Linked DNA regions of Caenorhabditis elegans. The protein of the gene in region 1 purifies or fractionates together with the protein of each later gene. This does not show direct contact. Each region holds a gene or a part of one and is shown in the gene's direction. Other genes may lie near its edges.

Evidence for each region. Proteins that work in one complex are often made in the same cells at the same time.
Region 2: the proteins of lec-10 (region 1) and hrg-11.3 purify together in Caenorhabditis elegans (affinity purification with mass spectrometry, with the first as the bait; one study listed by BioGRID). This does not show direct contact.
Region 3: the proteins of lec-10 (region 1) and irg-7 purify together in Caenorhabditis elegans (affinity purification with mass spectrometry, with the first as the bait; one study listed by BioGRID). This does not show direct contact.

Annotation. Positions count from the first base shown.
Region 1 is NC_003283.11:6,487,615-6,490,948, reverse strand, and holds lec-10 (Galectin), read left to right. Parts: upstream 1-1,828; 5' UTR 1,829-1,937; coding exon 1,938-1,958; intron 1,959-2,025; coding exon 2,026-2,307; intron 2,308-2,355; coding exon 2,356-2,631; 3' UTR 2,632-2,746; downstream 2,747-3,334. Other genes in the region: cpt-6 (Choline/carnitine acyltransferase domain-containing protein), read left to right, coding at 1-94, 142-330, 506-739.
Region 2 is NC_003284.9:11,496,996-11,501,756, reverse strand, and holds the start of hrg-11.3 (C-type LECtin), read left to right. Parts: upstream 1-1,757; 5' UTR 1,758-1,907; coding exon 1,908-1,968; intron 1,969-2,014; coding exon 2,015-2,249; intron 2,250-2,300; coding exon 2,301-2,544; intron 2,545-3,293; coding exon 3,294-3,426; intron 3,427-3,471; coding exon 3,472-3,541; intron 3,542-3,648; coding exon 3,649-3,718; intron 3,719-3,761; coding exon 3,762-3,822; intron 3,823-3,960; coding exon 3,961-4,191; intron 4,192-4,238; coding exon 4,239-4,666; intron 4,667-4,711; coding exon 4,712-4,761.
Region 3 is NC_003284.9:3,240,633-3,245,632, reverse strand, and holds the start of irg-7 (Protein irg-7), read left to right. Parts: upstream 1-1,996; 5' UTR 1,997-2,008; coding exon 2,009-2,188; intron 2,189-2,231; coding exon 2,232-2,343; intron 2,344-2,397; coding exon 2,398-3,020; intron 3,021-3,066; coding exon 3,067-3,127; intron 3,128-3,192; coding exon 3,193-3,363; intron 3,364-3,410; coding exon 3,411-3,482; intron 3,483-3,528; coding exon 3,529-3,720; intron 3,721-3,768; coding exon 3,769-3,886; intron 3,887-3,935; coding exon 3,936-4,056; intron 4,057-4,102; coding exon 4,103-4,246; intron 4,247-4,292; coding exon 4,293-5,000. Other genes in the region: F40F4.7 (N-terminal methionine N(alpha)-acetyltransferase NatE), read left to right, coding at 1-186, 773-975, 1,112-1,199, 1,242-1,367.

The DNA of each region.
Region 1 (3,334 bases):
TCGATTCTTTGCAAACTCGAGGACCGAAACTTTGAGAACAGTTAACGATCACTCTTGTGAATTTGTGGAAGCTATGTTGAATGCAAATGAAACGGTAAGTTAATTTGAAGTTATTAAGACGATGAAAAATTCAAATTTCAGAAAGAAGCCAAGATTGCTCTTTTGAAAAAAGCTTGTGAAACTCATGTTCTTCGAAACAAGAAGTGTATGGTTGGGCAAGGAGTCGATCGTCATCTCTTTGTTCTGTATATTTTATCTCAAGGAACGGGGATTCAGAGTCCTTTCCTTGACAATTATATTAATCAAAAGTGGAAGCTATCTACCTCACATGTGAGTAATCATTAAAATAAGATGACATAGTGCTATGTATTTGGCAGTTGTATCACGTAACTTTCTAATAATGAGCTGAAGGATTTTAATTCAAACATTTTTCAACAATTGCTTTTTCTGGATTTTCCTAATTATTTTTTTTTTAACTTTACAATTTGAACATATCCTATTCCAGGTTCCAAACGTGACTAATCAATGCGACGAGGACACTGATTCAGACAACACTTGGCTCGGAGCATGCTTCGGAGCAGTCGCTGCTGATGGCTACGGAATCTGCTATCGCTTTGGAGGAAACCACGGAATCTTTGCAAACATCACAAGTTATCATTCCGCTGCCAACACTGATTCAACAAAGTTTGCAAAGTTGCTCTCCGAATCGTTCCACGAACTTTCAAACCTTTTCGTTTGAACCATCCCATTTTGTAACAAACGGTTTTATACCCATAACTTGTACCAATTTGAACTCATTCTGCACTATCATTCTAACCTGTTTCATATATTACTGTCACTCAGTCAATAAAATAATTTTTATTAAATAAAAAATTCTCTCGTGTATGACCCATTCAAAAATCACCTGAAATGACTCATGACCAGTTCACGATCTATGCTCAATTCTTGGTGTACACCAGACTATGACTCATGTAAAACTGGTGAAATGTCAAACAGAGTTTCCGATCAAAAATGGCAATTGTACGAGAATTTCATTTTTGATAGCATCACGTTGTGTGTGCCGATGGAAAGATGATTTTAGCACAAAAACTGCAAAAAACGGTTTTTATAGTGCACCAAAAAAGATGGAAAAAGATCTGAAAATGAATGAAATTGAAACTTAAATCTCTTAAGATTAAATATGAAATTTTGCCAATCTTTTCGGTAGGTTTTTGAAATCATGGAAACAGTTCTGGAAAGTTTGCAAACTTGACTATTTGTTTAGCTGACAAATTGTTGATGTGACTTGAATTCGCACCCTTTTCTAGATGAACTAATCCAAATTAACAAACGTAACGAAACATTTTCGAGGACAACAATCCTTTCATATTCATAACTACAGAAATCTGAACACCTTTTCAAAACATTATTTAACATCTAATTTTTTAAAATTCGTGGCATTTGTATGTAGAATTATGTTGTAAAATGATGTAATGATAGTGAGAAATCATTTAGATCTGTAACCTAAATACAATTTTTATACCCTCTATTAGACAAAACTTGATATTTAAAACTTTTTGTATTTCCAAAATGATGTTCCGTCATGCTGAAAAACAAAATAAACCAACAAAAAATTATGCTTCGAGCTGATTACTTGCAAATTATTAACAGAAACATTTCATTCCTAATCAGACGCAACGATTGAATTTGATTTTTCTTCCCCATCAGTTGAGTAATTACATCCTCTTTCATTGAATTCCAACTTTTAGTCTTATTCAGTTCTTTATTTGCCATTGATTTCCCAAATGTAGAAGTGTGTCTGATACCTCCCATTGATTCTTAGTCTTTAAGCAAATAAAACTCGCCTGATGTCATAGAAATATCGATAAGAGTTTGAATAAAAGTCGTGGCATTTCCTCACTTCTCTATCGGTTCAATCGGTCTTACTATCAACTAACATGCACTCCTATCACAACCCCGTGAGTTTTTGATTTTCTAGAATTTTCCAGTTTGGAAACTTCAAGTTTTCAATAAACCAAATTTCAGGGTGTCCCAACCGCTCTCTCGATCTTCGAGCCACTTCAAGATGGATCCACCATCTCTGTTCACGGACATGTTCGTCACGGACATCACAAGAACTTTGCCGTCGAGCTTTTGAGCGGACCAAATGTTGTTCTTCATGTCAACTTCCGTTTCCATCATGAACACGTCGTTGTCATGAACTCCCAGTTCAGTGGAATGTGGGGACCAGAAATCCGTCACAAAAACCCACTTCACCACTCGGAGCACTTCCACCTTAGCATCAAGGTTCACGCTGGATATTACCATGTAAGTTTTAACGTATTTAATTTTATAGTTAACTGTATTCAATTTCAGATCTCTGTGAACGGTCATCACCTCGCCGACTACCCACATCGTTACCCATACCAATCGGTTCAAGCCATCGGATTGAAGGGAGACGTTCATGTTGACAAGGTTCACTTCGAAGGATTCCACTTCCAACGTCGTTGGGACGGACATGTCGATCATGGACACTCTGGATACAATGCCTATGGAACTGAAACCTATGTTGCTCCAGTGTTTGTTCAGCCAAACTTTATGCCATACGGAGCACCACCACCACCAGTCCAAAACTTCAACCCATACAGATAAATCGGGGATCTTATTTTTTTAATGTATTTTTTGGAATTTTCGACGTTAATTGTCAAGTTGTTTTATAAATTTTGCATGTCTTATGAGTTTTTGTTGATAAAAAATGTTTAAATTTAAAAATCGCTAATGCTCAGAAGCCTTTGCTCTCCATTTTCTTTCAAACGTTCGCAAAGAAAACTGAATTTTAAAACAGTAAGTCAATATTATATTTTTTTTATGTCTGCGTGCCTGCCTCATACCTACTCGCCTACCACTTAATTTATTAATTTGGGAATTGAATAACTATATTCAGATGCTTGCAAAGTGTAGAATTAGTTTTCTGGAAGTTCAACTGGAAATCTATGAAGAATATTTATGTGTATTTTGGCAGGAGGCATGAAGGCCGCCTATTAGGCAGTCAGTCAGGGGGTCTTTTTTTTCATGATACACATGTGTTTGGCATATATTAATTTTTATTAACGAATGCACATAAATCAAATTTCAAAACAAAATAGGATAAAACCAAAAGGTAGTTCGTAAATAAAATAACTGACATCAAAAGTGGATTCTCTTTTCAGATGAGAATATTCAGATAACATTTTTTGTCAAATAAATCATCATATATACAGGAAAGTCACCGATTTAAGTGGAGATATAAAATATTCTCAATATGAGTGGAGAAACAAAAAAGAGAGAGAATGAAACAAATACCTGAACACGGAGA
Region 2 (4,761 bases), on another chromosome or scaffold:
AAGCGTTTAAAACATTGTTTTTTTGTAGTCGAAAAGCGACGCAAACACGTTTTTGACTGAAAATATTTTAAAAATGTGGAAAAAACAATTGGAAATGATTTTGTTCACATTTCTAAACCATTTATGTTTAAACACTGTGGGGGACTGTGCTTTTCTTTTTACAAAGGTTGGTACAAACTCATTCTTTGTCGTTTTTGTCTGTTAATATAAACATTTCAAAATGATTTGACCAGTTTTAGTACGATATTCGATACTTTCGGCTCTACAGGAGTAGTTTTAGCCAAAAATCCAATTTTTCAATCATTTGTTATGCTTGTTACGCTATTACCGTATTTCCTCTATTAGTCTTGCACCCCTATGTGACGATTGAAAATTATTTTCGCATGCAAGACTAATAGAGGAAATACGGTATGTTATTCAAGAGTTCAAAACTATTTTAATCGGAAGATTAGTTTAAAGAAACGAGCAACTGTATTCAGTACAGTTTAAGTGCAATCTTCAAAACAGTTCATTAACGTTCAGTTAAGTTAAGTTCATTGAGTTCCGGAACATAATCCTCGTTATCATAGTAAGATTTAAATTTTCTTTTACTCATCTCAATAGTTTCACAGACGACACTCACTTGACCTGATGAAATCACTATTACTGATTCAGAAATAATTGAAAAATTGCATTTGCAGATATTTAGTGCCAGCAGTAATGTAATCATTTTCGAACATGGGTGTGTTCATATGTAGTTGAAGGTACACAAATTATATCTTATAAACAAAGATATTTGATTCTTTCCATGGTGCGGTTGATGTTAGTCGGCCTGAGCGGAAAATATTTAGTTTTAGCCAAATAATTTTTAAATATTTTTAGACAATGTTTCTAATAAGCATTTTTTTACAAAATTGTTTCAAAACATTGCTACAAAATTTGACTTGAGTTCCATTTTGGGTGTGTACTCCTTACGTAAATTAATTTGTTGGCAATTTTAAATTGATAGGTCTGATAAGAAATTGAATCATATCAGGAAACTACATATTTCCAACGAGTCGGTATGCGATCAAAAGCGAACTATCATAATTGCACAAACATATCGAGGAACACTGTGATTATGCAAATTTTAGTATAAAACACAAAGAAATATAAAACAATCTTTTTCATAACATTCTTTCTCTGCCCTACACTATTTAATACTTTCTACAAAATTTTTGAAATTTATAAAAAAACAACTACAATCTGTTCAAAAGTCAATTAAAATGCTACGATCTCAAAAAATCATCTAAGTATGCACGAAGAGCGTTTAGAATTATTACAACCAAGTTTATATATTAACCGAATTAGTACAACATATTAACCACATAGCATTCGTTTTGATACATATCCATGACAAATCTGCATTTCAGGGTTTCCGAGATCGATCTGATTACTTGAAAACTGAACCGTTTTTAAAATCACAAGCAACAAGTAAACATTCCCAACAATGATAATAGTCTAATTCAAAGTAAAACGTAAAGCCAGTAGACCGAACTACACTGTTGTTATTTCCAAACAGACTTAATGTTTTAAGCCAAATATTTTCATTCATTTCATTGTTGTAAATGTTGCTTTGAGCAATAATATCTAAAGGTGAAGTAAATTCCCACGTTTACTTTTGCTCATAATCTTTATTCATTCGAATAATATTCAGAATTATCAAAAAACCATCGTTATACACGCCTGTCGTCGTGGTGCCATGTGCAATCACTTGATAACCATATTAGTTCTTGAAGGCAAAAATGTGGCAGTCGGCAAAACGTCGGGGCAAATAGCAAAATTGGCTTATCAAACAATAAAAAATTTTCACGGTCTTACATATGCGATAGGGCAAGACAAGCCCTTCCAGTTTCAGTCCGCTGCTGCTCGAGTCGCCACTGCACACGATGCGGCTCCTACTGGCTTTATTTTTATTAGTAACAGCAGTTGCAGCTGCTCCAAATCTTGGTAACTCAAACTAAATCTATTTTACAAAAACAACTTTTTTTTTCAGATTCCGTATTTCATCACCTACCAAATTATTATCCCGAACTAACAAATACTGATGCTTTCCATATTCGAGCAAAACGTGCGATTTTTGCCGTTCTTGGAATTGCCAACCAATGCGAAAATGGATGGACTGGTGATGGATGCAAAAACCCAATCTGTACTGATCCAAAACCTGCACCAACATCTGGACAGACTTCCAGTATTGAGATTATGTTTATCCAAGGAAGCTGTGGTGGACCGTAAGCATGAGTTTTAATTTAGTTGCTTCAAAACGATTTTCTTTTTTCAAGATTTTACATCCCTGTCGATTCAACAGGCAACAAGCCTACCCAAACCATTCAAATCCATGTTTCGGCTGCTGGAATTCCATATGTGAATATGACCGATGCAAAGGGAGTTGTATTTTCTCCATCTTACTCCGTAGCCGACGATAGCTATTCTCTGAATGTCTACGCCGATCTTCCATCTGGTGGATATACCTTGTCCATTGATAACCAGGGTGTTCCAACAAGCGAATGCATCATTGAAGTTAATGTAAGTGAGATTTTGTAGTCTGCCTTCTAGTTACATTTCGCACATTTTCATTCAAAATGTTCAACATTTGCCATCGTAACAAGATGAAAAACTGATAACCATGAGTTGCCTCCCTACATTTTTACGAGTTCGGCATATCAAAATGGGCGCGCTAAAAATGAATTAAAACGTGGAATTGGAAATAAAATGGCGCGTTATAAAAATACTGTATACCATGTCGTTATTAAAGATCAAATCAATGAATAATATAGTGAATTCATCAAAAGAACCTTACCTAAAGTTACATAATTTCTGAAATTCTTAAAACCTGGAATTGTCTACTAAAATTAAGAACAAATTATATTTAAAACAACGATGTTCCATACTGCCCAAATGAATTGTATATGTCATACATACTAACTTATATTTTGCTTCAAGTGCACCGGGAAGTTTTCAAAAGTTCAGACATTGATAAGGAATGTCATTATTCAGATTATTTTATGAAATGTAGTTTTCCTAGCAAAAAAAAACGTTTTTATAAAAATAAAATAAAACAAAGGTTTTTTATCTCTGATTAACCATCTTTGATTAACCAACAACCAATTTTTAATTTTGCAATTATAAATTTTGTGCCAGCAGCCATTTATTTATAAAAACTGCGAGAGTTCCAACATATAAAGCATTATATAAAGCATATTTAATTTATAGTTTTCAATTTTAAGTAATTTCCATATAAATTTCAATACAAAAGCACATGAAGTCAGTTTTAGGGTGACCCCAGCGGATTGAAAGCTGTGGATGGATTTGTGTATTCTCCACAGTCAGACGACCCTCCATATGGTGAATCTGCAATCAACGGTGTTCCGATGTATATGGCCGCTCACGTTGACAATTCACCAGCTCGTTAGTTTCGTTTTTTAAATATAAAACAAAATCTTTATATTGCAGAAGTTCAATCTATCACCATTCGCCAAGGCAATTCTTTGGCTCCAGTCTACAGAGCAGCTCTCACAAGAAGGTAGGGAACTGTATTTGTGGAAATAATTAGCATTTAGACTTGATTTATCTCCTGAAAACATTAACACCCCTATAAAAGCAAATCACTTTCCCCATTCATTTTTTCAGGTATCAGTGCGGGTATGAATACTATGCAGGACAGTGGCAATGTCAACTTGGAAATGCCTACTTCTATCATGTACTACGAAGTTCAAATTAAAATGTTTAATGTTTTCTTTCAGATTGATGGAGTTGACGCCAACGGATTTAACTTCAGAAGAACCGGAAGATTCTCATGCATGCGTAAGTCAACAACGCTTTTGTTATTTGAATGATTAGTTTTCTATAAGCTGAAAGTGTCATGAGTTTATTGAGCTCAGGCGTTCAAGAATTATTAGTTTCATAACTGTTAACTACAAATTGCAATCAGTCTTTTTTCAGAACTTCTCACATCACCAGCTCCTCCAACAACGACCCAAGCTCCGGTGACAACTTGTTTCAACAATGGAACACTCCTCAATGTTGCTAACCAAGGCCAAACATGCTTCTGCTCTGAGCTGTTTAATGGAAAACAATGTGAAAAAGTTAACTGTATGAACGCCGGATTCCCAGATCCAGACGGTAATCTATGCGAATGTGCTGCTGGATACCATGGAACAAACTGTCAAGATGGTATGTTAAGTTTCAGTTATATTTATATATTAAATATATCTTTCAAGTTACCTGTCCACTGAACTGGGAACAATATCTTACCAACTACAAGACATTGGTTGTTATCATTCGAAGCACCGTTTCGATGAATCAAAACCTAAATGCGATCTCCAGTGCTATCTACAAAGAACTAACAAGTAACGACGGCAACAACTACGAAGTATACAAAGGATTTGTCATTGTTAAATTTGCAAACGGTGCTTACACCAACACCTACTACCCAGCATTTGACCAAAATGCTTTCCTGGCTGCCATCAATCAAGCTTCAACTGCTGTTGGACAATGTTCGGATGCTACTTTTGATGCGATCGGCTCTATTTTTAACGAAGTCGCTCTCTATCAAAAATCTCCAGTCTATTTGTTCACTGACGCAACTGCTAGTGATGTCGAGAAATGGCAAACCGTCATTGAGCAAAACACTCGCATGAAGTTCCCGGTACTACATAACTGATGTTAACATAAGTAGAAGTTGCAATTTCAGATATACACTCACTACTTTGTTCAATCTAATTGTGCATTTGATGAAATGAG
Region 3 (5,000 bases), on another chromosome or scaffold:
GCAGAAAATACCGAAGCAGTGAGCACACCCGAAAAAGTTTCCGATTCAGTTGAGCCAGAGAAGCAGGATCAAGTTGATCAACTGGTGCCATTGATTAATAAATTTGACGTGAATGGAAAAGCACTGAAAACAATTGCCGGTCATGGGACAGTTCATTTGGGAGAAATTACGCCGCACAACATTTTGGTGAGAATTTATTAATTTGTTGAAGGAAATGTATGTTATGAAACGAACTAGAATTCATAATATTAAATGAAACCCATATTTTCTCGATCAATGTGAATATGATGTAGCCTTAATTTTTGCGTCTTAAAAAATTGAATATTACTCTTGCACGCAGTGAATGTGAGCCCACTCAATAAAATTCTGTTCCGATTTATATATATTCTGTGAATGGCTAAAAAAGCAAACCTAGGCCGACTTTGCTGTTCATTTTTGAAGCTTTCAACATTGCCCTGTATTCTGTACCTGTGAAAATTGTGTAAATTGGCATAGAATGAGCTGTTAAAATACGTTGTAGCCTACCGAGCATGTCAGACAAGTAGTTGAACTCAAAGTTTGCTGAAGCACACTCAAAGTTTGCTGAAGGTCTTCACTCACTCTTGAACCAAACAGATGATTTTAACCTCCACCTTTTAAATTTAATTTAGCCTTCCCATTTTCATCAGTAAAACGCGATTTCTGAAATCCTATTTGTTTTTCAAACCTCAACAAAAAATACACGAACTTCATAAAACTCGAAACTCGATTTTTCAATTTACTATAATTTCAGCAACTGAAAAAGCTCAATGAAGATGTCTTCCCAATTGCCTACAACGACAAGTTCTATGTGGAAGCTCGATATTGCGGAGAACTTGGACGTCTTGCCTACTACAACGATGTCGTCGTGGGCGCCGTGTGCTGTCGCATTGACGATATTTCAGACGAGAAGTCGTTGTATCTCATGACACTTGGAACCCTTGCCGCCTACCGACAGTGAGTTTTGAGTCAGATCAAATTTACCTTATCAATGACGTTTTTTTGGTACAGTTCTACCTGAAAATGACGGTTTTAATAGCGTTAATTATTATACCAAGGGCGTTTTACGAGGTAATAAAATGTGCTATTTCAGAATCGGTATTGGTACAATTCTCATCGACTACGCATTAAAATTGTGCAATAAGATGGAAGAAATTAAGACCATGTACTTACATGTGCAGGTATCCAGAAAAAAGTGGATCTGAAAAAAAGTAATTTTCCAGGTCAACAACAAAAATGCGGTGCAATTCTATGAGAAGCATGGCTTCACCAATGACGGAATTATCGAGGACTACTATCGTATTAGCCCAAGAGACGCTTACTTGCTCATCAAACGAATCCGCCACTAAACTAGAATAGCTCATTTTGATATACAATATCTGAACTGTTTCCCTTTTCAAAATTACTTTATTTTTATCATAGCGACTGGTGGCATCCAAGCCTGGTCTGCAAGTTGGATCTCTAGCCATTGACAATTGCCAGCATGGTTGTTTTGTCTTCTTTCCCATCTTCAAGCATAACCGTGCCTACCCGTATGAAAACCATGTCTGTTTGAGATTTCCCATTTTTTCTATGCTTTATTTCATGTATCATCATTTTCAATTCTATTGACTTTTTGTTTTTTGGTAACTCTGGTAATTCGATTGTGAATTCTAAATGTCGAGGTTCTTTTATTGTCCGAGCAAATTTTATGTTTTGAATTTTGACTCATAAAAATGTAAGGCGTTTTATTGTTAACAAGAACATGAAAAATCAGGAGAGCCCGGGGGAAAATTTTATTATGCCCTTATGCATAGCATTGAAAGATAAGAAGTTGCCACGATGTTACGAGCGTGCCCAACCCATTTTCTTATTTAACGACTTTGATTGCTATAAGGTTTTCTTGATAGTACTTTTAGTCGCATTACTCCAGTGCTTCTTTTTCATTTTAAGCTGTTGATAATACCCCTTCAAGTTTGCTTCCAAAAAAACTAATATTTTTTATTTAGAAATGAGGAACTGGGTTTTGATTGCGGCCCTGGCCGTGATCTGCCTGGCGACTGAGCAGGAGCTCAGTCACAAGGACAGAATACGCGCGGTTTTGAGATCATGGAGTCCGGCATCGCAGAAGCAGTTTTTCGAGCCAGTCAGAGAGCAAAAGTACAGGACTATGGAAGAAAGGGTTATTTTTGTAAGGTCTAGCAAACAGGTGCGATTCGAATTTTTAATTTCAGTTGGACACCCATCATATTTCCAAAAGATCCATTGCTGAACCACACGTTTTGGCTGGAATGGCTACTCGAGGATGCAACAAGCCAGGGTACACCGGTGAAACTTGCCAATATCGTGAGTTTTAAGATTTATATTTCTAAAATGTTCCATGACGCAGAAATTTTTCAGCCCTCTGTTCTGCTCGCAACCCGTACATTCCGAACAACGACGGATTTGATGACATTGCAATTGATGCTTACAATCTGGCTAATTGCTCTGAATCATACATCGTCGTCGTTGACGAGACGATGCGGAATATCAAAATTGAAGTCGAGACGGCGTCAGCATTGAACCCAACATTCTATCTTCAAGCTGAAAATGGAGATCTCATATTCCCAGACGAATCCATTCAACTTCCAACAATGTTCACTGCAAATTATTTGCATCTGCCTCCCGGACAATATATGCTTGGACCACGAGCCGACACCAGCGAGCAGTTTTGTACAATGATGATGTCATCCCGCAGTAGCATTCATGTTTCCGGTGGATTCACTTCAGGAGATCAAGCCGAGCGTAGTGACTATCCAAATCTCAAGTTTACATATTTCGATACTGAGTCGGTTGTTGCAATTCATGCTCAAGGTTTGGACTTTCCTGGTCAAATCCAAGCAATTGGATTTACCGGTGCCGAGAACCACATCTCAAGATACATTCCAATGACAACCCGTTTCAACTGTACTTATCCATACATCTTGGAGAGATACACTTGCAGAAAAACCAGCAATAACGATGCTGGACACAATCTCATTCAAGTTCGATTGAACCAAAGGTGCTAAACATTCAAATTTTTGTTTTCAGGTGGAGGGTGTGACTAACTCTGGCTACAAGTTCCGTCGTATTGTTCCTTACCAATGCGTCTGTGAGTTTCTTTGTAGTGTATATAAGAAGTTTATATAAGACTTTTAAGAAAAAGTACCTTTTCAGTACCACCAGTAACAACTACTACCCCCGCTGTCCCGACAACACCTGCAGCACCGATAACTTCTTGTCAAAACGGAGGGCAGTTGCTTACTGACTCTAATGGAGTTGCATATTGTTATTGCTTTGGACTTTACTCTGGAAGTACTTGCTCGCAAATGCTCTGTGCTAACGGAGGTACAATTCATCCTTGAAATTATATATTTTTTATAATAACTATTAAGGTTTCTTGCCGACTCCAACCAGTGACCGTTGTCAATGCCCAGAAGGATTCAGTGGCTTCCATTGCCAGAATAGTATGCACTAGTAAAAATTATCTGTTAAAACATAATAACTTTGCAGTCTTGTGTACCGACATGTCAGGCTTTGACTTCAACGCTGAAAACCCAACTCTCACCCTTGTCATCCGATCAAGAAGCCAGCTCTCTGCAGTTATTGAACAAGCAACTGAGTCTGTTCAAAGTATTGTTGATCTTCTCGCTAGTGAACCTGGATATCTATCAAAGTTCATTGTTGTTCTTTTTGATAACGGAAGTGAGTTTTGATCTAAAACATATTTGACATGAAAGTGTATTATTTCAGAGCTCTTGGTGAACAGACAATATGATTCATGGGACGCTGCAATGGTCGATCTTACAAAAGCTATCCATTCCGCTCCAAGCGAAGGAGGATGTGATGATGTTGTCATGTCTGCTGTTGCGTAAGTTCACTGGTATGTAATAATGTTTAAAAATGCTAATTCATTACAGATCTGCACTTTCTCTCTATCCAACAAACAAATCCCCGATCTATGTGATTACGGACGCCACTCCAAATGATAGTGCTGAGAAGGAAACTGTGTTCCATCTGGAATCTTATTGGAGAGCACCGGTAAATAACATGAAAGCAAATAATGTTGACTCTATTTAAATTTCAGATCTACTTCATTTACGTTCAACCATCTCCAGCCGATGGATGTAACTCATCTCCAGATAACTCTGCATATAGAGATATGGTGGACATGGCTGCTCGTTCAAGTGGTAACACTTTCTATTTCAGCGACAGAAGCACTATTTCGACCGTAAGTCACTTCACTTTATATCTCCCATATCAATTAACTTTTATAGTTCTTCTACCGACACATGCTTAACACCTTGTTCCGATCCCAACTTGTTCTTTCCGGAGATTACTCACACTGCTCCAGCCAGAATCTGTACAAGTCAGCTGCCTTTGATCTTAGCGTTGACTACGTTACAATTGTAGCCACTGGAACAAATTTGACTCTAGTTGTGACAAGCCCAACAGGACAGTATCCAACTTTCAACACCGCCTTTTCTGATGGTGTGAACTATGTTTGGACGTATAACTCGCCAGTTGCTGGTCAATGGTTCTTCTCTATCAGATCACTTGAACCAGAAGCAGCTTGCACGTTTAAGGTTTATCAGAAGAAGTTCAACTTTGGCGGACAAACTCAATACAGCCCCGACTATGATATTTTCTGGTCATTCGCTTCTACTCTTACTTCGGCAGCAGGAGTTCTACGTCAGCCAGTTCTTGGATTTGATTCATCTCCAGTTTTCCATGTTACCAACTACCCTCAGTTCCTCTCAATGGACCGTGTGCATGCCAATCTTCAGATTTATGCTATTCGTGACGGAGTTCAAACCGAGGTTTACGGATCAAGTGGAATGTACAGAGATGCCTGTGAATTCAACTTCTACTTCCCACCATTCACTTGCCGTGTTCCAGAAGAAGTTCTTTACTTCAATTTCTTTGCTCGTGATAATAATGACATGGCTCTTCAACGTGCCGGAACTATGTTCTGTGCTGCCGTT